Anolis sagrei: one gene and its partners. The protein of the gene in region 4 interacts with the protein of the main gene of each other region in a biochemical or structural test. Links are inferred from orthologs where the notes say so. Each region holds a gene or a part of one and is shown on either strand. Other genes may lie near its edges. The genes, in order: MBP, CCNT2, CTDP1 and CDK9.

What was found.
Region 1: of the proteins of CDK9 (region 4) and MBP, one has a biochemical effect on the other in vitro, tested with the Homo sapiens proteins (2 studies listed by BioGRID). The link is inferred for Anolis sagrei from reciprocal best matches to the Homo sapiens genes CDK9 and MBP.
Region 2: the proteins of CDK9 (region 4) and CCNT2 form a complex in vitro, tested with the Homo sapiens proteins (4 studies listed by BioGRID, with this or other methods). The link is inferred for Anolis sagrei from reciprocal best matches to the Homo sapiens genes CDK9 and CCNT2.
Region 3: of the proteins of CDK9 (region 4) and CTDP1, one has a biochemical effect on the other in vitro, tested with the Homo sapiens proteins (3 studies listed by BioGRID). The link is inferred for Anolis sagrei from reciprocal best matches to the Homo sapiens genes CDK9 and CTDP1.

Annotation. Positions count from the first base shown.
Region 1 is NC_090024.1:74,469,157-74,476,979, forward strand, and holds the start of MBP (myelin basic protein), read right to left. Parts: upstream 3,006-7,823; 5' UTR 2,556-3,005; intron 1-2,555. UniProt on the Homo sapiens protein: The classic group of MBP isoforms (isoform 4-isoform 14) are with PLP the most abundant protein components of the myelin membrane in the CNS. They have a role in both its formation and stabilization.
Region 2 is NC_090021.1:214,095,574-214,103,539, reverse strand, and holds the start of CCNT2 (cyclin-T2), read left to right. Parts: upstream 1-4,953; 5' UTR 4,954-4,993; coding exon 4,994-5,229; intron 5,230-7,966. UniProt on the Homo sapiens protein: Regulatory subunit of the cyclin-dependent kinase pair (CDK9/cyclin T) complex, also called positive transcription elongation factor B (P-TEFB), which is proposed to facilitate the transition from abortive to production elongation by phosphorylating the CTD (carboxy-terminal domain) of the large subunit of RNA polymerase II (RNAP II).
Region 3 is NC_090024.1:76,171,552-76,178,568, forward strand, and holds the start of CTDP1 (RNA polymerase II subunit A C-terminal domain phosphatase), read left to right. Parts: upstream 1-4,001; 5' UTR 4,002-4,341; coding exon 4,342-4,598; intron 4,599-7,017. UniProt on the Homo sapiens protein: Processively dephosphorylates 'Ser-2' and 'Ser-5' of the heptad repeats YSPTSPS in the C-terminal domain of the largest RNA polymerase II subunit. This promotes the activity of RNA polymerase II.
Region 4 is NC_090031.1:16,134,845-16,142,264, reverse strand, and holds the start of CDK9 (cyclin-dependent kinase 9), read left to right. Parts: upstream 1-4,400; 5' UTR 4,401-4,404; coding exon 4,405-4,586; intron 4,587-7,420. UniProt on the Homo sapiens protein: Protein kinase involved in the regulation of transcription.

The DNA of each region.
Region 1 (7,823 bases), on a different chromosome or scaffold from region 4:
AAAGACTTGTGTCGACAGGACTGCTGAATCCAAGGAGAGCGGGTTGAGCTCCCTATAGTCAGCTCCAGCTCCCCATGTGGGACATGAGAGCAGCCTCCCACAATGATGGTAAAATTTCAAACATCTGGGTCTCCCCGGGCAACATCTCACACCAGAAGCAACATGGAGTTTCTCAAGTTGGTCCTGACACACACACAAAATGGGGATAGGTGGGCATGATTGGCCCTCACAATGGCCATCTATAGGGGGTACTTAGAGTATGTGTTTCAGTGTGGCGGGGATTTGGCTGAATGGTCCTTGTGATTTCTTCGAAATCTAAGGGCCCCTTCAGATTATCAATGCAGATAATCTGCATCATCTGCTTGAAACTGGATTATATGAGTCTACATTGCCATATAATCAATTTCAAAGCAGATAATCTGGATTTTATATGGCAGTGTAGAAGGGGCCCAAGGCTGCTTTGAACTGAATTATATGGCAATGTAGACTCATACAATCCAGTTCACAGCAGTTAATCTGCTTTGATCATCTGGATTATATGGTAGTGTCAATCCAGCCAAAAATTTGATAATTCTATGAACTCTAGTCCAGTGATTCTCTAGGCCCTTCCACACAGCCCTATATCTCAGAATATAAAAGCAGAAAACCACACAGTATCTGTTTTGAACTGGGATATCTGGGTCCACACTGCCATATATTCCAGTTCAATGCGAAAAATGTGGGGTTATATTTAGCTGTCTGGAAGAAGCCTCAGGGCCCTTCCACACAGAAATGTAATGCAGAATATCAAGGCAGAAAATCCTACAATATCTGCTTTGGAAAAGGGCCCCTTCCACACAGCTGAATAAAATCCCACATTATCTGCTTTGAACTGGAATATATGGTAGTGTGGACTCAGATAACCCAGTATAAAACAGATACAGTGGGATTTTCTGCCTTGATATTCTGGGATATAGGGCTGTGTGGAAGGGCCCCGGGTTATCTGAGTCCACACTGACGTATATTCCAGTTCAAAGCAGATAATGTGTGATTTTCTGCCTTGATGTTCTGGGTTATATGGCTGTGTGGAAGGGTCCTAAGCCTTTTCTTCACCATGGACTACCTTTTGTGGCCACGGGCCACCAAGAGCGAACTCAGGATTGGATGCACTAAGCTGCATCAAACAATTACTTCCATGTTCTCATGAAGGTCCCTCACATTTAGAGAGCAGGGGATACACTTCAAGCTTGTGAATGCAGACACAATTACTAGAATATCTGGATTATAATGATTTCACAGCAAAAAAAAAAATCATACCATGTCTTCAATCTTTGGCTGACCCCCTTGAGGATATTGCAGACCTCCAAGGTTGTGGAGCCCAGGTTGAGAACTACTGCCAGGGCCTTTCTACACAGCCCTATATCCCGGGATATCAAAATCCCACAATATCTGCTTTGAACTGGGTTATCTAAGGTCCACACTCAGATAATGTGGGATTTTTTGCCATGATATCCTGGGATATAGGGCTGTGTGGAAGGGCCCGCAGACTATCCATCCAGGGTGGAGGACAACCACCATCAATGGCAGAGGTGGGAAAATAGGGCTGATAAACATTGCCATTAGCCTCCCCCCCCCCCCAGTTTCTTGTTGCATTGTTTTGTTTCTGGTCAATACATAAACATACTACAGAAGAATCAATCAGTCCAATGTGCTCTCCTTCTCTACCTGTGCCCCAACCAGCCATTCCTCTCTTCTCTATCCCTCGCCAGGTTCTCAAGCTTCCTCTCCCTCTTTCTCCCTTTAAAGTCACCAGACCCAGTCTCTCTCTCTCTCTCTCTCTCTCTCTCTCTCTCTCTCTCTCTCTCTCATGGCCCTTCTGCACAGTCCTATATCCCAGAATATCAAGGCAAAAATCCCACATTATCTGAGTGTGAACTCAGGGCCCTTCCACACAGCCCTATATACCAGAATATCAAGACAAAAAAAATTCCACAATATCTGCTTTGAACTGGGTACACACTCAGAGAAATGTGGGATTTTCTGCCTTGATATTCTGGGATATAGGGCTGTGTGGAAGGGCCCTGAATTCACACTCAGATGTGGGATTTTCTGCCTTGATATTCTGGAATATAGGGTTGTGTGGAAGGGCTCTGAGTTCACACTCAGATGTGGGATTTTCTGCCTTGATATTCTGGAATATAAGGCTGTGTGGAAGGGCCCCGAGTCCACACTCAGATAAATGTGGGATTTTCTGCCTTGATATTCTGGGATATAGGGCTGTATGGAAGGGCCCTGAGCTCACACTCAGATATTGTGGGATTTTCTGCCTTGATATTCTGAGATAAAGGGCTGTGTGGAAGGGCCCTGAGTTCACACTCAGATAATGTGGGATTTTCTGCCTTGATATTCTGGGATATAGGGCTGTGTGGGAGGCCCCGCAGATAACCCAGTTCAAAGCAGACCTTGTGGGATTTTCTGCCTTGATAGCCCCCAGTGACAGGGAAAAGGGAGCCCTGGTGGGAGACAAAGCTTTGGAGAAGACCAAGAAGAATCAAGCCCAATAGCCACTCACTCACCTAAGGTGTCCTTCGCCTCTTCTTCTATGGGTTGCGCCGTGGAGGGGAGATCCGAGGCGAAGATAGGGCAAGGCCTGCGGGTGGAGACCGAAGGGACCCCCACCCAGCCGAGGAAGGCGATTGTGAGCGGGGAGGTCCCTCTCTTTGGGGGCTCACCGAGCTATCTCTCGCCAATGACAGGCGCGGGAAGCGCTGCTGGCTCCTGCTGCTCGCCTTTCCCCGCCTTCTTCCTCCACGCAAGGGTCGCCCAAAGCTGGTGTTTAGGGGGAAATCGAGCGCGCCTTGTAGCCAAAGCAAGCCTTCTGGTCCCTTTCCTGCCAGATACGGAGAGCAGGTTGTGGGGAGGGGGAGGCTGTTGCTTGCTCTTCCGCCGACGCCTCGCCCCTCCCGATGCACCTTCGCCCGGGCGCCGCCCGCTCGAGAAGAACCAGGAAGGACGGCGCGAATGGCAACCCGAGGAGGAGGAGGAGGGAGAGCAAGTAGAAAGAGGAGGGAGGCAGGGAGCACAGCCCTCCCCTCCCCGGATCCAGGGACTTCCCCGTCTTCTCATTGCCAGCATTCCTCAACCTGCCAGGTGGAGCCTCTTTCCCTCGCTGCTGCTTTTGCCTTCCGGGCTCTCCAGTCCCGCATCCCCACTTTCGGTTTGGCCCAGCGGGGAGAGCGGGTAAGGGGCTCCAGATGTTGCCGACTTCCATCCCCAGAATCCCCCACTGTTGACCAAACGGCCGAGGCTTCTGGGAGTCGAAGTCCAATCCACCTGGAGAGCCAAAGGGCGAGGTTAGAGGACAGGGTCAGGCACCTCTCTTTACCTCTTTCGCTCAAGGGTCCCGGATGGAGCCCGGACTTAGGACTCGGATGAGCCCCCGCTCCGCCATGGAAAGCCCAGTTTGGGTGAGTCACAGGCAGGAAACTCTGCCATAGGGTCACTTTAGGGTCGCTCTTAGTCAGAGACGCCTGGAAGGCACACGGAAACAAAGAGCTCCTTTCTTTGATAATAACAATAAAAAAAAAATCTTTGGGTTGCTGTGAGCTTTCCAGGCTGTATGGCCATGTTTCAGAAGCATCCCCTCCTGACGTTTCGCCCACATCTATGACAGACATCCTCAGAACGTGTGATGTCTGTTGGAAACTAGGCAAGTGAGATTTATATACTCGTTGTCCGAGTAGGATAGTCTTCCAGGGTCAGTGTCCCAGCAGTGGGGCCATAGGTGACTGTGGAGCCCTATTCTTGATCTGCATCTTCTCCCACAGTGAGGGCATTGGCTTCCAGGTGGAAGGCGGTCTCGATTGGGGTTGGCTTGACGCACCTGCCTCTTGGCACGTTTCTCTCTTTCGCCCTCCATTCCTGCCTCTTCAAATTCTACAGCACTGCTAGTTACAGTTGACCTCCAGCTGGAGCGCTCAAGGGCCAGGGCTTCCAAGTTCTCAGTGTCTATGGCAGAGTTTTTAAGGCTGGCCTTGAGCCAATCTTTAAATTTCTTTTCCTGTCCACCAACATTCAGTATTCCATTCTTGAGTTCAGAGTAGAGCAACTGCTTTGGGAGATGGTGATCAGGCATCCAGACAACATGACCAGTCCAGCAGAGTTGATGGCAGAGGACCATCGTTTCAATGTTGGTGGTCTTTGCTTCTTCCAGCATGGTGACATTTGTCTGCCTGTCTTCCCAAGAGATTTGCATGATTTTTCGGAGGCAACACTGATGGAATCATTCCAGGAGTTGCATGTGACATCTGTAGACAGTCCACCTCTCACAGGCATATAGCAGCATTGGGAGGACAATAGCTTTATAAACAAATACCTTGGTACGCCTGTGGATATCGTGGTCCTTAAGCACTCTCTGCTTCATTCGGAAAAAAGTTGCACTCACAGAGCTCAGGCGGTGTTTTATGTCAGTGTCAATGTTGACTTTGGTGAAGAGAAGTGGCTACCAAGGTAGCGGAAATAGTCAACATTTTTTAATGTTACACCATTTCTGGCATTGGAGAGGGATTGGCTGGTGACTGCTGGAAGAGCACTTTGGTTTTCTCAATGTTCAATGACAGGCCGAGCTTCTCGTATGGTCCTGTGAAGGTGTTTAGAGTGGCTTGAGGTTTATATATCCATGGAATGTCCAGGGCGGGAGAAATATCTCTTGTCTGTTTGAGGCAAGTGTGAATGTTGCAGTTGGCAACCTTGATGAACATTTAACGGTCTTGCAGCTTCAAAGCCTGGCTGGTTGCTGCCTGGGGGATCCTTTGTTGGGAGGTGTTAACTGGCCCTGATTTTTTCCTGTCTGGAATTCTCCTGTTTTTTGAGTGTTGCTCTTTCTTTACCGTTCTGATTTTAGAGGTTTTTTAAATACTGGTAGCCAAATTTTGTTCATTTTCATAGTTTCCTCCTTTTTGTTGAAATTGTAAACATGCTTGTGGATTTCAATGGCTTCTCTGTGTAGTCTGACATGGTAGTTGTTAGAGTGGCCCAGCACTTCTGTGTTCTCACATAATATGTTGTGTCCAGGTTGGTTCATCAAGTGCTCTGCTATGGCTGACTTCTCTGGTTGAGTTAGTCTGCAGTGCCTTTCATGTTCCTTGATTCATGCTTAGTAACCAGGTTTTGAAGCTGCAAGGCCATTCAATGCTAATCAAGGTGACCAATTGCAACTTTTACACTTGCTTCCAACAGAGTTCTTTCTCTCATCCTGGGCATTCCACAGATATATAAACCCCACTTGCCTTGTTTCTAACAGACCTCACAACCTCTGAGGATGTCTGTCATAGATGTGGGTGAAACGTCAGGAGAGAATGCTTCTGGAACATAGCAATACAGTCTGGAAAACTCACAGCAATCCAATTAAAGGACATTTTATGGTCAGATATATCTACAATCCTTATATCTAAATTCAAAGTCCAATCTCCTGACTAAACAGAACAAGCTGCAGCCTTCCAGATGTAACTGTATCACAACTCCCATCAGTTCTAGTTCTTGATGAGGAACATCGAAATTGTAGTCCAGCATCTGGAAGGCCACATAAAATGGCATGGTGGGCTGGATCTGACCCACTGGCCTTGGGTTTGACACATTTTCTCCCATCTCATTTGTGAAGTAAGGAAAGCATTACAGCTTTCCTTGGTGACCCTATGGTGAATCTATCCAGAGGTTTTTTTTTTTAGCAAGAGTTGCTTTTGCCTTCCTCCGAGGTTGAGAGTGTGTGACTTGCTCAAGGTGGCTTTCCATGGCTGACATGAATTTGAATCCTGATCTCCAGAGTTATAGTCCAACACTTAATCACTACACCACACATCTTAAAGGATAGTCTGACCCTTGTGTGTGTGAATGCAGGTTGGCTGTGGTTCTGTGGTGACCCCATAGGTTTTTCTTAGGCAAGGTATACTCAGAGTTGATTTTGCCAGGCCCTTCTCCTCAAATAGAGACTGTAGCACCTGGTTATTCATTGGTGGTCTCCCATTAAACTTCTGCAGTGGGTAAACTGCTGAACTGCTAAACTTGCTGACCGAAAGGTTGCAGGTTCAAATCCAGAGAGTGGCGTGAGCTTTCGCTGTCAGCCCCAGCTTCTGTCAACCTAGCAGTTCGAAAACATGCAAATGTGAGTAGATCAATAGGTATTGCTCCAGTGGGAAGGTATCATCATGCCTTGCAGTCATGTTGGCCACATGACCTTGGAGGTGTCTACAGACAACGTCGGCTCTTCAGCTTAGAAATGTAGATGATAGGCCTGGGCGGTTTCATTCGTTAATTTTGTAATTCGTTAAATATTCGTTAATTTTAGCAATTACAAAACGATTACAAAACTTATTTTTAAACCCGGAAGCGTTTTTAAATATCGAAACGGCATGCGCCAAAAAATTTTGTATTTCCGTCCATTTCGGAAATACGTAAGATGGCTTGGCTAGATGCTTGCTGGGAGCTCTCCTCTCTCTCCTCTCCTTAGCCAGTCAGAGCCTGAAAGAGGAGGAGGAGGAGGAGGAGGAGAGGGCGGGGAAGGCGCCGGCTGAGCAAGCGAGCGAGAGGGCGAGCGACCCTCAGCGGGAAGGCGGCCCGTCCCTCCTTCCTCACCTTTGCGGTGGGTGTGCTTCATTCTCCCGAGAAGGAGAGGGCGGGGAAGGCGCCGGCTGAGCAAGCGAGCGAGAGGGCGAGCGACCCTCAGCGGGAAGGCGGCCCGTCCCTCCTTCCTCACCTTTGCGGTGGGTGTGCTTCGTTCTCCCAATTCCTTAGCGGAGGGCTGTGCTTCGTTCTCCCAATTCCTTAGCGGAGGGCTGTGCTTCGTTCTCCCAATTCCTTAGCGGAGGGCTGGGCTAGATGGCCTTTGGGGAGCCCTTCTCCCAATTTCGCATTGCTTCGGAGGAGCCGGGCCCGACTCGGCGTCAGCGCTTGAGGGCCCGCCAGAGTGAGTGCCTGCCTTCCCTCCTTAATAATAATTTCTCCTCCCTATTCTACTAAATTAATAATTAAATTAAAAAATATTGAAAAAATATTGAAAAAATATTGAAAAAATATTGAAAAAATATTGAAAAAATATTGAAAAAATATTGAAAAAAAAGGGCGCCATCTTTACAAAATGTTTTGTAAATATTAACGAAATTTCGTAAATACCGAACTTTTTTAAGGGAAAATTTTGTAATTATTTTAAATATCGAAACAAAAAAACCCCCCAAATACAAATCGATTTTAGAAACAAATTTTTGCGTTGTTACCCAGGCCTAGTAGATGAGCACCAACCCCCAGATTTGGACATGACTGGACTTAATGTCAGGGGAGAACCTTTTCCTTTACTAGGCTCTCTTGATAAGCAATTTCTCCAATCTGCTCAATATGTAGAATGGAAATGACACTGGCAAAGAGTCCATAGATTTCTTTGGCTTATCGATTCCAGCCCACCAAAGTGATTCCAACCAATTGTTTGCCCAACCTATTTTAAAAGCAGGTCATAATCCAAACTTAGGGGTGGATTGGAATTCTCCTGGGTATTGTTTCTGATCTCATCACTTGTCTACCTGTCAGGAAGAGAGGTTTTGATTGCATAACACTATGTAATACAAATTTTGTTTCTGGGTTATAAATGCCATTCCCTAATTGGTTCTATCTTTAAAAACATGGCAAAAAGTTTATTAAACTGCAAAAACTTTTTTTGCAGGACAATCTGCAGCACATTTTGCTATAGATTTTTGATGAATATCTCATAGTCTCAGTCAATTCAACATAGTTTGTGGAAGCCACAAAAACAAAGTTTCTGGAGTATAATAACTGTTTCAAAGTGAGTACCACAAAGT
Region 2 (7,966 bases), on a different chromosome or scaffold from region 4:
AGCAACACGTGACAGGGGACGGCTAGTACATATATAAAATGTATCTATCTCTGGAAGATGAGACCCAAGTCTAAACACGAAATATGTGTTTTATGTGCACCATATACATATAGCCTGAAGACAATGTTATGCAATGTTTTAAAATTAAATTTGTATATGAAATAAGGTTTGGGTACATTGAATCATCAGAAAACAAAGGTGTCACTGTCTTAGCCAACCACGAAGGAAATTTTTGATTTCGGGGTGTTTTGGAATTCCAGATAAGGGATGTTCAACCTGGAATACAACTTCTATGGCTCTTTTATACCTATAGTTGGGGGCTAAGGCTTGGCTCTTTGAACCCAGACTATGAACCCTTCCATAGTGGGAATATCACCTAAGATTATTGTGACTGACAGCAGAATCAGAAGGAAACAGCCAATCACAGTCCAGAGAATGTTGAGGAGGGCGGGGTGAAGGGGAAAGCCCATAGGACAGTTTAACTGACGAAGTTTTGAATGTATTACTGACAGTTGAGTGGAATGGTACTGAGGGAGACACAGTTCTGTCTGAGAGAAACAAGAGAAGAGAAAGTAGTTTTAGGGCTCCAGAAGTTTTGGAGTCAGATACAAATGGTGACACTGCTAGAAGCAGTGAGCCAGCATTTGTGTTTGTTGTGATAAGCCTTTTCTTGAATAAACTGTTCCTGGTTGTTTAAGTTCTTGTCTAAGCCATTCATTGAGATATTTGTACCTATTTGGTTCAGTCTCACGGCCCTGAGATGGTGGTAAGCCCAAAGGAGGGAATTCAGACTTATCTGTACTGTCCAATTAATGCAGTTTGATACCACTTCAACTGCCATGGCCCACTGCCGTTTTAACCTTCCTTGCTGCACCAGATTCCAAATCCTAGGATTCCACAGCATGGAGCCATGGCAGTTGAAGAGGCCTCAAATGACATGAATTATGCATTAATTTTGTTTTAAAAGTTTGAATCATTATAATGATTTTGAATGGCTAAAAACAAATTAATCGACACATTAGACAGAGCCCGTTCAAAATGAATGGGGGCCCTTACAAAATTGTTGTTGGGTGCCTTTTCTGACCTATGGCAACTCTATCACATAGGTCAGGTACGAATAAAACTTTATTGGCAAGATTTATTCAGAAGAGGATTGCCGAGGCTGAGGGAGTGTGACTTGCCCAGGGTCACCCGCTGGGTTTCCATGGCCGGGTGAGGATTTGAACCCTGGTCTCCATAATTTGCAAATAAATTCGTTAAAAATCAGACAATGTGATTTTCTGGATGTGTTTTCTCATGTTGTCTCTCATCGTTGAGGACTGCCTATGATGTCAATTACAGGCCTCTATCATCTTTTTAAATGGGAGAACTTGTACAATTGCTATCTGACTAAATACCCCCCCCCCCCCCCAACTGTATGTATTTTCCTCACAACTCTGCACCATTCAAAACTGTCCTGTGAGGTTTAACCAGTTTTCTAGAGTAGAAAATTGAGATTACACGGAGGGGTGCTTGGGCGCTGTTTCCTAGATCTACTGGTGGGTTTTTTTTTTCAGCAATGCAAATACTCACTGGACTTTTGGTCTGTTTCTAAAAAAAAAAAAATTGTACACCTGACAATACTTTTGGTTTCAAAAAGCTAGGCTTTCGCTGTAATAGGCAGTAGGGACACATAAAGCTTCGGAGAGCTTATGTTCAATCATTTCAAAGCTCCCTGCTTGAGCGGTGATGGCACGATCTGAGGCTGAAAGAGTATGACTTGCCCAGGGTCACCCACTGAGTTTCCATGACTGGGCGAGGATTTGAACCTTGGTCTCCAGAGGGAGAGGGTGTATGCCAGTTAAAGTGATGCAAACTGAATTAAGTCTCCAGTGCAGATCAGGCACGGACAAACTTCGGCCCTCCAGGTGTTTTGGACTTCAACTCCCACAATTCCTAACAAAACACCTGGAGGGCGGGAGTTTTCCCATGCCTGGTGTAGAGGTATCCCTACAGTGTGCATGAAGTATTCAAGCCACTACACTACTGCTCTGGGACTCAGAGCAGCTTACAAGTTATATGTACATACAATACATTATATTATTAGCATAGCACAATATTAGTATTATATATTACTATATTGTACTATACCTCTATACTGTAATATTATTAGCAATATTACATGTAATATGAAATATATAATAATAATAATAATAATAATAATAATAATAATGTTTTCATGGCAAGAATACTGGGGTAGGTTGCCATCAGCCAGGAAATCAGAAGACGTTTACTTCTTGGGAGGAGACCAATAACCAATCTCAATAAAATAGTGAAGACTAGAGACATCACACTGGCAACGAAGATCCGCACAGTTAAAACAATGGTATTCCCCATAGTAATCTATGAATGTGAGAGCTGGCCATAAGGAAGGCTGAGCAAAAGAAGATAAGACGCTTTTGAACTGTGGTGCTGGAGGAAAGTTCTGAGAGTGTCTTGGACTGCGAGAAGATGCAACCAGTCAGGAAATAAAGCCTGACTGCTCATTGGAGGGAAAGATATTAGAGGCAAAGATGAAGTACTTTGGCCACATCATGAGAAGACAGGAAAACTTAGAGAAGACAATTATGCTGGGGAAAATGGAAGGGAAAAGGAAGAGGGGCCGACCAAGGGCAAGATGGATGGATGGTATCCTTGAAGTGACTGGATTGACTTTGAAGGAACTGGGGATGGCGACAGCTGACAGGGAGTTCTGGCTTGGGCTGGTCCATGAGGTTACAAAGAGTCAGAAGCGACAACAAATAAGCATTATTATTAGTATTATATTGTATTACATTATAACATTATCAATATTGTATGTGTATACAATATATTATTAGCACAACACAATATTTGTATTATATATTACTATAGTCCTCTATTGTGCATGTAGCAGGGCTCAGGTTGCATTGCAGCAGGTAGTCAGTGGTTTGCTCTTCTCCACACTCGCATGTCGTGGATTCCACTTTGTAGCCCCATTTCTTAAGGTTAGCTCTGCATCTTGTGGTGCCAGAGCGCAGTCTGTTCAGCGCTTTCCAAGTCGCCCAGTTTTCTGTGCGCCCAAGAGGGAGTCTCTCATTTGGTATCAGCCATTGATTGAGGTTCTGGGTTTGAGCTTGCCACTTTTGGACTCTTGCTTGCTGAGGTGTTCCAGCAAGTGTCTCTGTAGATCTTAGAAAACTATTTCTAATATATTGTAATATAATATAAAGTAATATATAGTATTACATTATAACATTATCAATATATGTATATACAATATATTATATTATTAGCATAGCACAATATTAGAATTATATATTAATATATTGTATTATACAGGGTGAGGCAGCATAATTTCCTTTTTTAAAATGCGCACCATTCAGTCGGCTCAAGACTTAGTGGAGCGCTAGTGGTCTTGTTTGAGAGGCGGGAGTATAAAGTTTTGTCCTGACACAGTTCAGACGCCATCATGCATTGGAACAGTGAGGAGCGTGCTTTTGCCGCTGAGGCCTACTTTTCAAGCGGATTTGGAGTGGTCGGCCCGCTCTCCAGATTTGGCCCCTTGTGATTTTTTTCTATGGGTTTTTTTGAAATCTCGTGTTTATGTGACCAGTCCAAGGACCCTACAAGATTTGAAGACCAACATCCAGGAAGAAATTGCCAACATAACGCCTGCTATGCTGGCAAGAGTCATGACAAACGCCAGAAATCGGTTTACTCTGTGTATGGAGAATGGAGAATGGGGAACGTCACCTACCTAATTTGATCTACAAAACTACGTAAAACAAAACTTTAGGTATGTGCCTGTTGTTGTTCATTCGTTCAGTCGTCTCCGACTCTTCGTGACCTCATGGACCAGTCCACGCTAGAGCTCCCTGTCGGCCGTCACCACCCCCAGCTCCTTCAAGGTCAGTCCAGTCACTTCAAGGATGCCATCCATCCATCTTGCCCTTGGTCGGCCCCTCTTCCTTTTGCCTTCCACTTTCCCCAGCATAATTGTCTTTTCTAGGCTTTGCTGTCTCCTCATGATGTGGCCAAAGTACTTCAACTTTGTCTCTAGTATCCTTCCCTCCAATGAGCAGTCGGGCTTTATTTCCTGGAGGATGGACTGGTTGGATCTTCTCGCAGTCCAAGGCACTCTCAGAACTTTCCTCCAACACCACAGCTCAAAAGCATCAATCTTCCTTCGCTCAGCCTTCCCTAAGGTCCAGCTCTCACATCCGTAGGTGACTACAGGGAATACCATGGCTTTGACTAGGCGGATCTTTGTTGCCAGAGTGATATCTCTACTCTTTACTATTTTATCGAGATTGGACATTGCTCTCCTCCCAAGAAGTAAGCATCTTCTGATTTCCTGGCCACAGTCTGCATCTGCAGTCATCTTTGCGCCTAGAAATAGGTATGCGCCTACATTATATAAAAAAAATTCTGATTGATACAAGGGGTTTTATTAAGTTTTGAAAAAAAGAAGTTATGCTGCCTCACCATGTATATTGTAATATATAATACCATATTATATGATGCCACTATTCTGTTTTATTATTAGCAATATTACATGTAATATGAAATATAACATTATTGTATTGTATTATTATATTGTATTACATTATAACATTATCAATATTATATTTGTATACAATATATTATTAGCACAGCACAACATTAGTATTCTGTATTACTATACTGTTGCATAATACATCTTCATGGGAAGCGGCCTAAAACAAAAGCTCCCGAGCCTTTCTCCGACTTCCGGTTTGATCCAGGAGAGGTTATTCGAGCGCCTCTATAGCCTTTCTCACCTTTCCCGGCGACTCTATGGTTTATTGGAGGCCGCGTGCAGCGTAGAGCCGGCAGGCTTTCGGCCACGCGGATTGGAGCTCTCGCGAGAGGCGCCGCGATGGCAGAACAGGCGGAGGGGGAAGAGGAGGAGGAGGAGGAAGGGGCGGGGCCTGAGCCGGGCGCGCCGGTTGCGGGTGGAGGAGGAAGTCGTGTCATGGCGGCGTCGTCTGCGACGGGTTCCGGGCCTGGCGCGAGCTCAGCGGCGGCAGCGGCGGCAGCGGCGGCGGCGGCGGCGGCATCTCGTGGCGCGGGCGGCTCTCGCTGGTTCTTCAGCCGGGAGCAGCTGGAGAGTACGCCTTCGCGGCGCTGCGGCGTCGAGGCCGACAAGGAGCTCTCGTACCGGCAGCAGGCGGCCAACCTCATCCAGGACATGGGCCAGCGCCTCAACGTGTATCCTTGGCGGCTGGGCCTGGGCCTGAGGGAGGCAGCGGGGGGCAGAGAGGGCAGCAAGAAGCGGGGAAGGAAGGCGTGGCTGGGAAAGAAAGGGTCTTCTGGTGGCTGGCGGAGAGGAAGGGCCCCACCTCAGGCTTTTGGGCCTTCGCAGGCCTTGCCTGGCTCCTCCCTTCTTCTAGGCAAGGCGCCTCAGGCTCCCCCGGGAGTCGCGGAGGAAGGAGGCTTGAGCTCGGCGCCGCCGCCTGGAACCCCACGGGGATGCAGGCCCCATCTGCACACTTATTTAGCTGTATTCGTTCATGCACTTCGAAGCTAGTTAGTTATGCAACTTCTCACACAACCACACAAAAGCAAATCTCGATTTCTATCTTACGTTGTGGCCTGTGTAAAGCGTCTGCACTGCCCCGTGAAATACTTGCCATGCCCCCCATGCTGTTTAAATGGCGGGTAGTGCGTAAGGAGGGGGAAAGGGGCACCCAGAAGGTTCTCTGTATGTTCTTTGGTATGGGAAAGGAAGAAAATGTTTCATACTCCCTTTTTGATTTCTACAATATTTTTTCTCTTGTACAAAAACTACAATTTTAGATATAATTAATGTTAAAGTCATTAAAAGTAAATAAAAGCAAATATAACTTAATGTAACACAGTTTCACTGTATTATAAACAACTTCATGAGTGCAGTATGCAATTTCAATTAAGTGGCCAATACACTTCACTTAATGAACATCACTAACAAACTTCAATTTAAACTGTACATTTCCCCTTAAAATTAGGGGTTTTTTCCAATTTAAATGTAAAGTAGTATTTAATTTTTTGCTGATTTCCTGGGAGTTCCAGTTGCTTGAAATCTAGTTAACTGAAAGTCTACTGTATTATTATTATTGTTATTACCTAGGGTAACCAAGTTTCAGCCTTTGAAATACTAGAGAAATACAAAGCCAGTATGGGAGCTGGGAGGATCCAAAATACAGGAGTTCCCTGGAAATACAGGAAAGTTGGTCACTCGTTATTGCCACTTATAAACTGTAAACTGAGTCTGTTTAATACAGGTTGAGTATCTGTTATCTAAAATACTTTGAACCAGAATTGTTTTGAATTTTGGGTGTTCCCCCCCCCCCCCCCCCCCGTTTTTGTAATACCCATATTTGCATATACATATATCAAGAAGTATCTTGGTCTTGGGATCCATGTCTGAACACGAAATTATTTTATGGTTCTTAGACACTTTAGATAGATAGATAGATAGATAGACAGACAGACAGACAGACAGAGATACAGGCAAGTCCTCAAGTTACGATCAAGATAGGTTCTGTATATTTTAAGTTGAATTTGTATATAAGTCAAACAGGTACACTTTTAAAGTGTATATCCAGACACACACACACACACTCGTGTGTGTGTGTGTGTGTATGTAGTTTTAGTTAGCATAGGGAAGGCATAACACCCCTGTTGGGTTCGCTTTGCTCTGTGTTCCTGTTCAGAAGATTTCACCTCACTTTCTGTCCCTGTGATAATTGGATTTTGGAAAAAAATGTCTTGGTGTGGAAGCAAGGATTGGTGAGAAAGCGTCAGTGGAGACACCTTTTCCCCATGATAACTCCTTCAGGAGTGAATTTCCCTTCCAAGGGTAGATGTTTGTCACTTCCTGTTGTCTCACCTCTGTTCTTCACTATGAGTCGATGTTTGTAACTCTGAGACTGCTTGTATAGCTTACGGATAATTTCATAGTATTTTTAAGTTGCGCATGAAGCATCAAAAAACAAAGGTGTCACTCTCTCAACCTCCCTTGTGCACATTTTTGGGATTTGTGGTATATCGGATTTCAGGATTCCAGATAATGGAAACTTAACCTGCACTAAGATAAGCAATTATGCTTACCCTCCTTTGACTCCAGTTGCAAATAATTGAAACGGGAGATAAAATATATAATGGGAAAACTGTATAAATCTGGTATTATTATTTATTCATCTAGAAGGTGAAACTGGGTGATACTGAGTGGATAATATTGAGCAGTTTATTCCAGATTCTGACATAACATTTTTAGAATTATATTATTGGAAATGTTAGAAAAACTTCTCACCTTTTAAAGATAAAATAAAAATGACCAAACCATCGCTATGTAGTATTTTATACCTGAACTAGCTGTACCTGCCATGTATTGCTGTGGCCAACTTTCCCTCCCTCTTTCTCTCCTTTTTCTCCTTCCTTCCCTTTTTTCTTCTTCTCCCTTTTTTTTCCCTTCTTTTCCCCTCTTTTCTTTCCCTTCCTATTTTTCCCCTTTCTTTCTTTACCTATTCTTGGACTGCAACTCCCAGCAGTCCTCCTGATCCATCAATCTATCTATCTACCTATCTATCTCTAATCTATCTGGAGGATTGTTGGGAGTTGCAGTCCAGGAATAGGAAATTGGAAATGTGCAGGGATTGGGATGCTCTCAAAGAAATCCAACGAGAAGAAAGCTTGCAGCTTGGAAGCAGTGCATTTAGATCATCCTCCTCCTCCAAAAGGGCCTGGTCTAGGGGATGCTGGGAACTGTAGTCTGGAAGAGAGTGTGGATATGCTATTATGTGTGTTGTTTGCTGGGGGAGTTGTTTTTGTGCATGCACTGTAGCGTCTTTTTGCTTTTTTTTACCTTTTAAGTCCCTTCCGCTGTGTTTTTCAGTGTTTTCATGAGTGAAGGTCACTCAGTGGCCTGATAGGTATATTGTGTCCAAGTTTGATGTCAATTCATCCA
Region 3 (7,017 bases), on a different chromosome or scaffold from region 4:
AGTATTTCTATAAAATATATTGCTTGATATACAAGTGATGTCATCTGCTTACAAGAATAAAATTGCAGATAGAAATCAGAGACAAAACACTTACAAAGCAAAGAGGTTTGAGGTGGGAGCAGAACATAAAAATCAATTGGAGAGGACACTGCTGTTTGAAAATGTGAATATTCTTGAAAAGCAAAGGTGTGTGTCTGTGTTGGGATGTAAAGTGGGCATTTATCAAGATCTTTTTGAATTATTTTATATATTTGATCTTGGTGTTTCAACCTGCAAAACACTTCAATTTGTATTTTAGGAAAAAATGCTATTGTTTTGGAATCATTTAAGGATACATTTTGGAAAATGTGGTGTTGGCCAATTGCAATGAAGGAACAATTCTGAAGCCCAATGGATCATGTAGGATTAGACACTTTAATTGTTTTAACAGTGGAAAAGTAAGGTTCACCCAGAGTGGGGAATACACAATCACCAGATGTTGGATTGCAACTGACATTAGTCCTTATTTATTTCTGTTGGAAATAGCAATCTTCTACAAGCCTCCTATACTAGTTGTTATGTACAGTATATAATTCAGATTGCTTGCTGTATTATATATGTATGTTTTGATATGCAGCTTCCTTAACTCTATGTTGTTTGAGGTTGTGAGAGAGACTGCAGACCATGTGATCAGATCTGGGCCTATTCATACTGAGGCTCCATTTTAGAAATCAGTATAGTATTGTGTTGTGTTATATTTTATTGTATAGTCATTTTCATTAGGCATTAGGCATAAGACAGAGAAGAGAATGAAACAGAATGCCTTAGAGAACTTACTGTTTAAACTTTCAACTGATAAACAATGTACCTGTATGCTGAATACATAAAGTTTGTAAGAAAATCAACTATGTTATTTTTTTAAAAGACTGCTTATTTTTTGTCTCATGAGAACATTATTTAAAACCAATGTATTTTATGGGAGAGTAGATTTTGGGGGGGGGGGGGGCAACTGAAGCAAAACACTCCTGAAGATCTTCCATTTATTTTGTGCATTGTCATATCTTTGTTCCTAATAGTTCAGACAGATAACCAGGTATATCAGTCTAACAACTGAGAAACCTAATTGCCTTGAAGCAATACTAGTGGATATATACCGCTAAAGAGAAAATTCACTCAAACGAGTTTTTAGTTTTTCTCAGGAAGATCTTTATTTTACAAAAAGGTTATGATTTTCCAAATGGTAGTGACTGCCAATTAATCTCCAAAAGGTCACGCTTCCAAAAGGCTTTGAAGAGTCTGGTTTTCCAAAAGGTTATGATCTCAATGGTCATCCTTTTCCCAAAAGGTTATGCCTTTCCAAAAATTTCACCCTATGCTGAAGAATTATAGGAGGGGCACATATTCCCTGTGTTTTCTTTAGACCTTGAATACAGTAACTGTTAATTCCCTAAAGGTGTTAAAGATTACTAGAGTGCAAATGTTGTATATTTTCCATCAGATATTTAAAGTTGCTGTGGAAAAGTCTATTTTGCTGTTTTACAAGAGGAACTGGCTTTTCTGGAAGAATGAAAATTCAAATGGAATGTAAATCTTTGGAATTATGGTAATTTGCCATAAATACAGAGGAGTGGCACCAACAGAGGGCAAGGACAACTAGAAGTAACTTCAAAGGCATAATCTGCTTATGCACATTTTTTTCATAATGATGATGACACTTTGGGTTTGAAAGTTTCCAAAATTTCTAAATGAGTGGATCAAAAAAAAATGCATCTATGTAGCCCTTTAACACAAACGAGATCCCAAACTGATGCAACAGACTCTCATTTAAAGGGCACTCAATGAGGACTGATAGATGCTGGATAAGTGTAGTTTCTGACTGCTTGAAAGTTTCTATTAAAACTTGGGCTAAATAATACTATACCTCATACTTTACCACATCATGAACTCTATGTTGCCATGATAGTACTATTGAAAGAAAGACACATCTGACTTAATGTAACACAATTTTATAATATTATAATATTGTATCTTACTGTTCCCTCAGCGACAGCAAGAGCATCCCTCTGGGCAGCTAAACCAGGAAATCCCAATTGGATGGTCCCCCATGAGGGTCTCCCTCCAAGAGCAAACCAAGTATGGGCAACTTGGAAGTCCTTGAACAGACTCAGAAGTGGAGTGGACAGATCAAAAGACAACCTGGCAAAATGGCACTACCTAAAAGAATCCTCCACCTTGTGCGACTGTGGAGCAGAACAAACAATTCTGCACCTGTTTGCTTGTCCACAATGCCCTGCCTTGTGTACAGAGGAGAAGTTGTTTAACGCTACAGACAATGTGGTTGCTGTTGCCCAGTTTTGGTCAAAAATTATTTCGCTGATTGTGCTCCTTCTATTTTTATCAATTTTATATTTATGTATGCAATGCCTTTGAAACGCAATAAATAAAATGGTATTATAAAAACACAGCTTTGTCAATGCAGTATGCAATTTTAGTTAAACAGCAGTCAACAAACCTTTGCCGTTTGCTTGACAACTCCAGTTGCTTGTTTTCTGGTTAACTGAGAGTCTACTGTACAATGATGAGACAGCAAGAAGGAATAGAAGACCCGGAGCTCCAAGGAAGAAAATACAATACCTTCTGCAACTGGACTGTTTCCACAATGGAATTTTTATATTTTATAGAAAATTCAAAACTAATATAAAATGAGGGAATTGTCCAATAACAGCTGAATGACCCTTTTCTTAATGTTTTATTAGAGAACTTTTGAAAACTGGTAGCTTCAGGTCATGACATGGGCTGGTCCATGAGGTCATGAAAAGTCGGAAGCGACTGAACAAATAAACAACAATAACCCACTGTGAAAAGCTTTGGCTTCCCATATCCAGTAAACAGAATATGGGGAAAATGAGATTGCCACAGGTCACTTTGCTAAAATTCATAATCCGTCATTCAGGGAGCATCACCCTTCTTTGTCCATTAATTCTGTATCCACGGATTCAACCTTCCACGTCTTTAAAAGGTTTTAATTCAAAAATCCAGAAAGCAAATGAGTGATCCAATACAACAGCCAGCAGAGTGATCTTGTCTGCTGTGGACTCTGGAATGTGTCCAGAGGAGGGAGACTAAAATGATCAAAGGTCTGAAGAACAAGCCCTATGAGGAGCGGCTTAAAGAGCTGGACATGTTTAGCCTGAAGAAGAGAAGGCTGAGATGAGAAATGATAGCCATGTATAAATATGTGAGAGGAACTCATAGGGAGGGAGCAACCTGGTTAACTCATGAATTTTAACTGGTTAACCAAATCCCCATGCTAAGTCTATGAAATTGCACCTGCAGAAAAACCATCAAATGCACTGGAAGCATATCTTGTCTGTGATTGAGAGTTTTTTTCCGAATGTGAAGAAACTTCTTTAAATGAAACATGCCAGTTACCCTTTGTAGTCTTTTACCTAAGTCATTGCTATCTTAAATGCTGGTTATAAGTTTTAATCCATGTTTAATCAGTTTTATCTGCTGGGTTGTTGTAGGTTTTTTTGGTCTATATGGCCATGGTCTAGAGGCATTCTCTTCTGACGTTTCGCCTGCATCTATGGCAAGCATCCTCATAGGTAGCGAGATCTGTTGGAACTAGGGAAAAGGGTTTATATATCTGTGGAATGACCAGGGTGGGACAAAGGACTCTTGTTTGCTGGGGCTAGTTTTATCTGCTGTTAATTCCACCCACGTCATGTGTTTTAATCCATTTTGGCTATTTTTGGCCTTACTAACTTTGCATACCTTTTACAGAGCAATAAGGGTCTTTGGATTGTATTAAAAATGTTGTTGTTGTGTTATCAAACTACTCTTCATGATTTGCTAAAAAAAAGTTTCAACACCCACCCCCACCCTGTAATGTGGTGTTCAAACTGCATTAGCCAGGGCTTAAAAGCTGGGACACAAACTCTGCCGCGCATGCGCGTCCCACCGGCTCGTCTGTTATGCAGCCCACGCGGAGGGGTGGGGAAGAGGGCTCGGGCCCCGTTGCGTCACCAGCGCCAGCGCGCGAAGCAGGAAGGGCGTGGCTTAAAACTTTCCATCGTCAGACCTGCGATGCCTTCCTCTCGCCTTGGTGCGGCTGTTCCTTTAAGGCAGCAGGGACGGAGCAGCAGCGGCGGCGCCGTGCGCCTGCGCAGCAGAGTCTTGACCTCGCGCTCCGTCCGCTGCGCTGCTCGTGACTACTTCTTCGTGTTGTTGTTGTTTTTTTGAAAAAGAGGGGGAGGGGAGGAAAGAGGGGGGGGAGCTGCCGTTTGGCATTCGGTTCTTATCGCTGAGGCGGCCGTTGCCATAGCGACCCCGCGTCGGACGGGCCCGGCCTAGGAGGCCATGGAGGAAGACCCTGGAGCAGCTGCCGCCGCTTCGGCTTCTGAAGTGACGGAGATCCGGGTCCCCGGCCCGCAGCCTCTGCGGCTCCTCGAGTGGAAAGTCTCAGCCGGGGCGGCGGTGAAAATCGGCTCGGTGCTGGCGGTGTGCGCGCCTATCGCGGCCTCTGAGGCGCGGGGCCCGGAGCGGAAGGTCAAAGCGGAGCGGCCTGGCGTGGTGCGGGAGCTGTGCGCGCGGCCGGGACAAGTCATCCCGCCCGGGTGAGTCCGGAGGAGAGGAGCGGAGGGAGGGAGGGAGGGCAGCCGGGGCGGGACTAGGCCTCGCCGCGCAGCTCATCTGAGCAAGCACCACAGCACTCGCCCCATCCCTGGCGCAGGAAGGAGGAGGAGGAGGAGGGAGGGAGGGCGCCAAGAACGGCATCAGCCCGCCCCTCCTCCCCCGCCCTCTCGCGCTCGCCCTGACTCTGGAGAAGGAAGCCAGCTTCCTTCCCCCTACCTCCGCCTTTCGCAGCCTGGGAGGGATCACGAGGGGGTGTCAGAGGGGGCGCCGAAGACTATCAGAAAACAGTATTTCATGCGGGTTCTGTGGGAGAATTTTGGTCCAATTCTATCCTTGGTGAAGTTCACAATGCTCATTGATTGTAGGTGAACTATAAATCCCAGCAACTACAACTTCCAGTATCCGCTGGGTAATGGAGAAAGGCAGGGAGTTTCAGGAAAAACATCTATTTCTGTTTTATTGACTATTCTAAAGCCTTTGACTGTGTGGATCATAATAAATTGTGGCAAGTTCTTGGTGGTATAGGTATACCAAATCACCTTGTCTTTCTCCTGAGGAATCTGTATAAGGACCAAGTAGCAACAGTAAGAACTGAGCATGGAACAACGGACTGGTTCAAGATTGGGAAAGGCGTATGGCAGGGTTGTATACTCTCACCCAACCTATTTCTGTTTTATTGACTATTCTAAAGCCTTTGACTGTGTGGATCATAATAAATTGTGGCAAGTTCTCCGTAGTATGGGGATCCCAAGCCACCTTGTCTCGCTCCTGAGGAATCTGTACAAGGACCAAGTAGCAACAGACTGGTTCAAGATTGGGAAAGGCGTACGGCAGGGTTGTATACTCTCACCCAACCTATTCAACTTGTATGCAGATCACATCATGCGATGTGCAGGGCTTGAAGCATGCAAGGCTGGGGTGAAAGTTGCTGGAAGAAACATTAACAACCTTAGATATGTAGATGATACCACTTTGATGGCTGGAAGTGAAGAGGAGCTGAGGAGCCTTCTAATCAAGGTGAAAGAAGAAAGTGCAAAAGCTGGGCTGCAGCTAAACATCAATAAAACCAAGATTATGACAACAAGAATGATTCATAACTGGCAAATAGAGGAAGAAAACATGGAAGCAGTGACAGACTTTGTATTTCTAGGTCCAAAGATTATTGCAGGTGCAGACTGCAGCCAGGAAATCAGAAGACGCTTACTTCTTGGGAGGAGAGCAATGACCAATCTCGATAAAATACTGAAGAGTAGAGACATCACATTGGCAATGAAGATCCGCATAGTAAAAGCAATTGTATTCTCCATAGTCACCTACGGATGTGAGAGTTGGACCATAGGGAAGGCTGAGCAAAGGAAGATAGATGCTTTTGAATTGTGGTGTTGGAGGAAAATTCTGAGAGTGCCTTGGACCCCAAGAAGATCCAACAAGTCCATACTTCAGGAAATAAAGCCCAACTGCTCACTGGAGGGAAGGATATTGGAGGCAAAGATGAAGTATTTTGGACAGATAATGAGAACACAGGAAAGCTTAGAGAATACAATTATGCTGGGGGAAATGGAAGGAAAAAGGAAGAGGGGCCAACCAAAGGCAAGATGGATGGATGGCATCCTTGAAGTGACTGGCTTGACCTTGAAGGAGCTGGGGGTGGTGACAGCCGACAGGGAGCTCTGTCGTGGGCTGGTTCGTGAAGTCACAAAGAGTCAGAAGCGACTGAATGAATGAACAGCAACCATGCAACTTCCAAATGACAATATCAGCCCTCCCCCCAATCAAAGAGCATTCTGAACTCCACCAACGATGGAATTGAACCAAATGTGGTACACAGAACTCCCCTGACCAACAGAAAATACTGAAAGACTTTAGTGGCCATTGACATTGAGTTTTGGTTGTAGTTCACCTACATCCAGAGAGCACTGTGCACTCAAACAATGATGGATCGGGACCAAACTTGGCACAAATACTTAATATGCCTAAATGTGAACACTGGTAGAGTTTGAGTGAAATAGATCTTGACATTTGGGAGTTGTAGTTGCTGGGATTTATAGTTCACCTACAATCAAAAAGCATTCTGAACCCAGCCCACAATGGATGTTTACTAAAATTGGCACACTACCTACATGGCCACCATTGAATGTTGGTGGGGTTGGAGGGGGCTGTTTTTGAATACTGGGAATTGTAGTTCCCCAACACCAAAAAAAGAAGAGGACAGGTGGAGATATTTTCAGTCTTTTCTGTCAAAGGGGTTCCTAAGACCATCAGAAATATATGTTTCGGATGGTCTGTGGAGCCCCCTCTGAAACCCCCCTCACAACTCCCCCAGAGGTCCCAACCCCCAGGTTGAGAAACACTGTGTTAGACTCAAAAATAACTCAGGTGGGGTGATTCCACCATAAATAC
Region 4 (7,420 bases):
AGAAGCAGCAGCAAATAAGGAATCAAGTAAAGATCTGAGTGATAAGGAGGGTTCCCATGGGAATCCACGTATAGCTACAGAGATCAACAAAAGTCTGTGTTTATAAATTAGAGACAAAAATAGATTGTGTCGTTCAGAGAGATTACATGAGAAAGTTCTGAAGGAAATTCACAGGAACCAACAATTTCATGGGTGTCTATTAAACAACAAGTTGTTTACCTTAAAGTCAGTTCAGGCAACACTACGTTAGAGTGAGAAGCTAAGCCTGAGTTCTCTTGTGCATACTGTATTTTTTTTACTTCCTTTTTCCAAATTGAATTACATACAGTGAGTCCTCTGTATCTGCAGTCCCCAGATCTACAGATTCAACCGTCAATTTCATATAGACAATATACGAAATTATTAGTAATTAGTAAGTTGTATCTAATTCATAAATTTTGGATATGCCAGGCATGGGTAAACTTTGACCTTCCTACCAGATGTATTGGAATTCCCACAATTCCTAACAGCCCCAGGCCCCTTCCTGTTCTCCCTCAGTAGCTTAAGTTGGAGGATTGATTGCCCCTAAAGAAAGACACATAACGGACCCATGACTGTCATTTCAAGCTCTGTGGAAACTAAATAGCCCCTTGAAACTGGACAGGGTCCGCCAGCCTTCAAATGGAGCCATTGTTAGGCCTCTTATCTGATGAGAGATCCTACAAAAAAAGGGAGAAAACATCAGCCTGGGGAGAAAGGAAGCAAGGAAGCGACTCAGCCAAAGAGCAGAGTGGAGCACCAGGAGCACAAAGGTCACTCCGCCCCCAGTGCCCCTGCGGGATGGAACAGGAGCTGTGCAACCATATCTTAAGGGCACTTCCCTTTTCCCCATGGAAAAATACATCCCAAGGCATGTGTCCTTGTTGTTGTGTACCATCATGCTGACTTCTGCTTAAGGTGGCCTTCTCATAGGGATCCCTTTGCCATTACTTATTCAAGGAGTGTGTTGTCGTAACCGAAGGCTTCTATGGCCAGAAGCACTGGTTTGCTGTGAGTTTTTTTGGCTGCATGTTTCGGAAAACCAGAATCTCCAGAATGTCCAGGGTGGGAGAAAGAACTCTTGTCTCTTGGAGGCAATTGCCCACCTTGATTAGCATTGAATGGCCTCGCAGCTTCAAAGCTTGGCTGGTTGCTGCCTGGGGGATCCTTTGTTGTGAGGTGTTAACTGGCCCTGATTGTTTAATATCAGGAATTTCCCTGACATGAAACTAATATCGAGCAAGAATTTAGGGGTCTTTGCCAGGAGACAGAGACCAGTCAGACCCACCAAAGAGAGTCCGTTCACCCTGGCAAGACAGATAGAAGCACCCAAAGAATTTTCCCTGATTTTTCCCGATAAAAGTTTCACCAAATTGAAGAAAATGCCATCAAATTGCCCTTATTTTGTTCCAGTTGGTACGGATGTCAAGCTGCAATCCCTTGCCAAAAACTGACATGTTTTGCAAGACAGAACAGTACATTTTTATAGAGAAACAGAGCTGTCAAATTCAAACTTCCCGCCCCCGTCCCCCTTAGCCGGCTTCACGCTGATTGGTTGGAGTCATCAGCTAGAGGGGAGGTGCGGCCGGCTTAGGCATGCCTCAGCCAATGAGAAAGCCAGCGCCGCTTCGGCCTCTCAGCCAATGGGTAGAAGGGAGGCAGGTAACAGGAAAAAAAATGAAGAAATGTCCTTTTGATTGGTTTAAATTATTAATGTTTGCAAAATAGGGGATTATGAGATCATTCCAACCTGGTGTCCTTGGTAAAACTATGAATTCCTTGGTTTTGAACCATCTTTTACAGAGTCCTGGGGGAGGGGGAGGTCACCTCCAATATCAAAACCAGCCAAGCTTTCAAGCTGCAAGGCCATTAAATGCTAATCAAGGTGGTCAATGACAACATTACCCATTTGCTTCAAGCAGACAAGAGCTCCTTCTCCCACCCTGGACATTATTCCACAGATCTATAAACCCCACTTGTCTAGTTTCCAACAGATCTCACAACCTCTGAGGATGCCTGCCATAGATGTGGGTGAAATGTCAGGAGAGAGTGCTTCTGGAACATGGCCAGACAGCCTGGAAAACTCACCACAACCCAGTGGTTCCAGCCATGAAAGCCTTCGACAACACAACAAAGGAGTTAATTTCCAATTTACTAACATCAGTGAGGCTGATAATAGCGAAAAATTGGAAATAAAAACATGATTTTCAGATAGAATAATAATAATAACAATAATAATAGAAGACTGGTACAAAGAAGTGTGGAATATAGCAATAAACGATAAATTGACATAAGACTAAAAAATAATTTGGAAATTAAATGTTTTTTGGAATATATGGGGGAAATTGATAGCACATGTCTGTGCTGAAGGGCAAGGAAGCAAACCTGCAGTGTAAACAATGATGTTTTGGAAATAATATATGAAGCGGTTAGGTCCAGGAGGGGACAGCACCCATCTTTATTTAATTCAAGGAATTTATGTTGTGGATAATATGTTAAAATTGGTAAAAACGTTGAAGCTCAACTCAACTGTGCGAAAACATAATAAAAGTTATGAAAAAAAAAACTAGAAAGACAAACAGAGGATGCCTCCAGGCAACAACAGCCAATAAATACCCTCACTGATTGACTCAGCAACTGCAAGGCCACTCAATACTAATTGCAACATTCACCAGCTATTGTCGAAGGCTTCCATGGCTGGAATCAGTGGGTTGTTGTAGGTTTTTCGGGCTATATGGCCATGTTCTAGATGCATTCTCTCCTGACGTTTCGCCTGCATCTATGGCAGGCACCCTCTGAGGTTGTGAGGTCTGTTGGAACGAGGAAATTTGGGTGGACATTCCACAGATATATAAACTCAAATTTCCTAGTTCCAACAGACTTCACAACCTCTGAGGGTGCCTGCCATAGATGCAGGCAAAACGTCAGGAGAGAATGCTTCTAGAACATGGTCATATAGCCCGAAAAACCTACAACAACCCATTCACCAGCTAACTCCTCCCAACAAAGGATATCCCCAGGCGGCAACCAGTCTGGGTTAGAAGCTGCAAGGCCATTAAATGCTAATCAAGACAGCCAATTGCAACATTCACACTTGCCACAGACCAGGGTTCTTTCTCCCACCCTGGGCACTATTCCCGAAGGAGACTCAATCCCGAAGGGGACTCAGAGCGGTTTACAAGATATATCTATATAAATAAAAATGTAATGTTTGTTTGTGGGATTAACAGAACTCAAAACCACTGGACGAATTGCTGCCAAATTTGGCCACAAGACACCTAATAACCCAAGGAGTGACCATTACTCAAAAAATTAATTTTGTCATTTGGGAGTTGTCATTGCTGGGATTTATAGTTCACCTACAATCAAAGATCATTCTGAACTCCACCAATGATGGAATTGAACCAAACTTGGCACCCAGAACTCCCATGACTAACATGGGCATTGATCTTGAGTTTGGGAGTTGTAGTTCACCTACATCCAGACAGCACCGTGGATTCAAACAATGATAGATCTGGAACAAACTTGGCACGAATATTCCATATGCACAAATATGAACACAGATGGAGTTTGGGAAAATAGAGCTTGACATTTGGGAATTGTAGATACTGGGATTTATAGTTTACCTACATCAAAGAGCATTGTGATCCCCACTAATGACAAAATTGGGGCAAACTTCCTGTGCGTGTGTGTGTATATATATATATATATATATATACACACACACACACACACGCACAGGAAGTTTGCCCCAATTTTGTCATATATATACACGCACGCAACACACATATATACATACATACACACACAATATTATTAGCATACATACTCTCCACTTGCCTCACTGACAAAAGAACCTCAGAGGATGCCACTGACCACAGATGCAGGTGAAACGTCAGGAGAGAATGCTGCTGGAAGATGGGCACACGTTCCAAAAAAAATCACAGCAGCCCAATCATAATAATTACTCATTTCAAACTTCCTGCCTTTACTGTAAGCCAGGCTTTCCCTGTGTCTTCGATCCCTCTTTCCAAAGCTTTGTTTTCCACTGAGTCTAATGAAGGCCTCAAGCGGACTTGCAACCTTGTACTCTACTTTTCCCTCAAAGTGGTATCAATATTCCTATATAAACATATGTACTATTATTATTAGTTAGGATTGCTTTCTGTCATTGCAATATTATTGTTGTTGTTTTCTACCATTGCAATATTGTTGTTGTTACTTGGGAGAGCCAGACAGGCCAGAGGAGAAGCAGCTGCAATCCTTCCCGCTCATTTCGCCGCCCACTTCCGGACTCTCGCGCAAGCCCCGCCCCCTTCTCGAACTACGACTCCCGGCGTGCATGGCGGCGGCGGCGGAAGCGGATTACCGGAAGTGGCGTCCCGGATGGAGGCGAGGCCGGGCGGAAGTGCAGCCGCACGCCCCTCAGACGGAAGCCGCCGGCAGCCAGAAGAGGTCGGGGTCGCCAGTTCTGCCATGGCCAAGCAGTACGACACGGTGGAGTGTCCCTTCTGCGATGAGGTCTCCAAGTACGAGAAGCTGGCCAAGATCGGGCAAGGCACCTTCGGGTGAGCACCCTCCCCTTCCTTCCTTCCTTCCTTCCCTTCTCTCAAGCAGGCCTAGGCCAACTTGGGCCCACACCAACTCCCACAATCTCTAACAGCCTTCCGGTGCTTCGATTGTGCATTTTCCGGGGTCTCTTCCAACTCTATTACTACTACTACTACTTCTACTACTAATAATAATAATAATGAGGCTGGGTGGCCATCGGTGGGGGGTGCTTTGATTGTGCCTTTCTTGCATGGCAGAAGTTGGACTGGATGGCCCATGGGGTCTCTTCCAACTCTATTATTATTACTACTACTACTAATAATAATAATAATAATAATAATAGTGAGGCTGGGTGGCCATCTGTCGAGATGCTTTGATTGTGCTTTTCCTGGATGGCAGAAGTTGGACTGGATGGCCCATGGGGTCTCTTCCAACTCTATTATTAGTACTACTACTACTAATAATAATAATAGTGAGGCTGGGTGGCCATCAGTCGGGTGTGCTTTGATTGTGCCTTTCCTACATGGCAGAAGTTGGACTGGATGGCCCATGGGGTCTCTTCCAACTCTATTATTAGTACTAATAATAATAATAATAGTGAGGCTGGGTGGCCATCAGTCGGGTGTGCTTTGATTGTGCTTTTCCTGGATGGCAGAAGTTGGACTGGATGGCACATGGGGTCTCTTCCAACTCAATTATTATTATTATTGCCACATCAGCACTTTTAATTCTGTACCCATTACTCTAGCCCGGCCCAGTTTTATTGTGTTTTGGTGTATTGTTTATTGCTTGTTGTTTAATATTGCTTTAATTGTTTTTAATTTGCTTTAGGTTTTGTATTGTTATGTTGTGTATTGAGACCTTGGCCTTTGTAAGCTGCATCGAGTCCTCCGGGAGATGCTAGCAGGGTACAAATAAAGTTAATAATAATAATAATTCTACTAATAATAATAATATTGAGGCTGGGTGGCCATCTGTCGGGGGTGCTTTGATTGTGCCTTTCCTGCATGGCCCATGAGGTCTCTTCCAACTCAATTATTAGTACCACTACTACTATTACTACTACTAATAATAGTGAGGCTGGGTGGCCATCTGTCGGGGGTGCTTTGATTGTACTATTCCTGCATTGCAGAAGGGGTTGGACTAGATGGCCCATGGGGTGTCTTCCAACTCTATTATTATAGAATCATAGATTTGAAGAGACCTCATGGGCCATCCAGAAGAAGCAGGAATATTGCATTCAAAGCACCCCTGACAGATGGCCATCTGGCCTCTGTTTAAAAGCCTCCAAAGGAGGAGCCTCCACCACACTCTGGGGCAGAGAGTTCCACTGCTGAACAGCTCTCACAGTCAGGAAGTTCTTCCTAATGTTCAGATGGAATCTCCTTTCTTGTACTACTACTACTACTACTACTAATAATAATAATAATAATAATATAGAGGCTGGATGGCCATCTGTTGGGGGTGCTTTGAATGCAATATTCCTCCTTCTTGGACTGGATGGCCCATGAGGTCTCTTCCAACTCTATGATTCTATAATAATATTGATTGTGCTTTTCCTGTATGGCAGAAGTTGAACTGGATGGGTCTCTTCCAACTCCATTATTGTTGTTGTTGCTTCTACTACTGAGAGAGATGTGATTTAGAAAATTAAATTCCCAATTATTACAAGTCCCAGAAGCCCTGTCTATAGAGAAAGAATGATTGTTCTCTGTGTTCTTTTTCAGTCAAAGATACAAGCAGTAAGTTAGGGGGTAAGCTCATTCCCTTACTCCTTAAATTTTCTCAGCCATGTAGATAAGCAACTTGCATATAGAGAAGCCACAGCTCAGGGTCAGACATTCCAACAGAATCATTGTTATAGGCTTTGATGTTAAAAACATAGAAGGACCAATCAAAAGTTGCCTGAGTGTTGAGTATAAAAACTTGGTTAAGAGAGCCACAAGGGGCGGGCAGTCTTTGTTCTTTGACCTGAACGGTCAAGGGCTGTCTGTCTCAATGCTGATCAGCTTGAAAATAAAAGACTTGTTGAAAAACCTCATCGGATCTCGTCTCCTCCCTGCCCTCTGGGCTCCATCACCTTAAATTGGTTTCTAACACAATTACTATTACTACTACTACTACTACTAATAATAATAATAATAATAATAGAGGCTGGGTGGCCATCTGTCGGGGGTGCTTTGATTGTGCCTTTCCTGCATGGCAGAAGGGGGTTGGATTAGATGGTCCATGGGATCTTTTCCAACTGCATTCTATGATTCTACTTTCTTCCTTCTCCAGCTCTGGAGGCCCTTCCACACAGCCCTAGAAATATAAATATATTGTATGAGAGAGTAAATGTTTTGGGCAACTGAAATAACACTTCTGAAGATCTATATATTTTGTGCATTGGCATAACTTTGTTCCTAACAGTTCAGAGAAATATCCAGGTATAGCAGTCTAACCACTGAGGGCCCTTCCACACAGCTCTAGAAATATAAATATATTTTACTAGCAGTCCCCTGCCACACATTGCTGTGGCCCAGTCTGTGTATATGTGTTTTGTGTGTGTGTATATTTGTGTATATGTTTACTAGCTGTGTCCTGCCACGCGTTGCTGTGGCATATAGTAAGAATTTTCGAAGAAGAGGTAGATATCTGGACTATTATGAAAGAGCAGTACCTACCTATTCCTCCCCCCCCCCTTTTTCCCCCTTCCCATTTCTCTCCTTTCTTCTCTACCTCTTTCTTTCACTCCTTCTTTCGCTCTTTGGTTTCATCCTTCCTTCTCTCTTTCCTTCCTTCCCTCCCCCTTTTTCTACTTCTTTGCCTCCCTTCTTCCCTCCCTGTTTCCTTCCTATATATTTTTGCA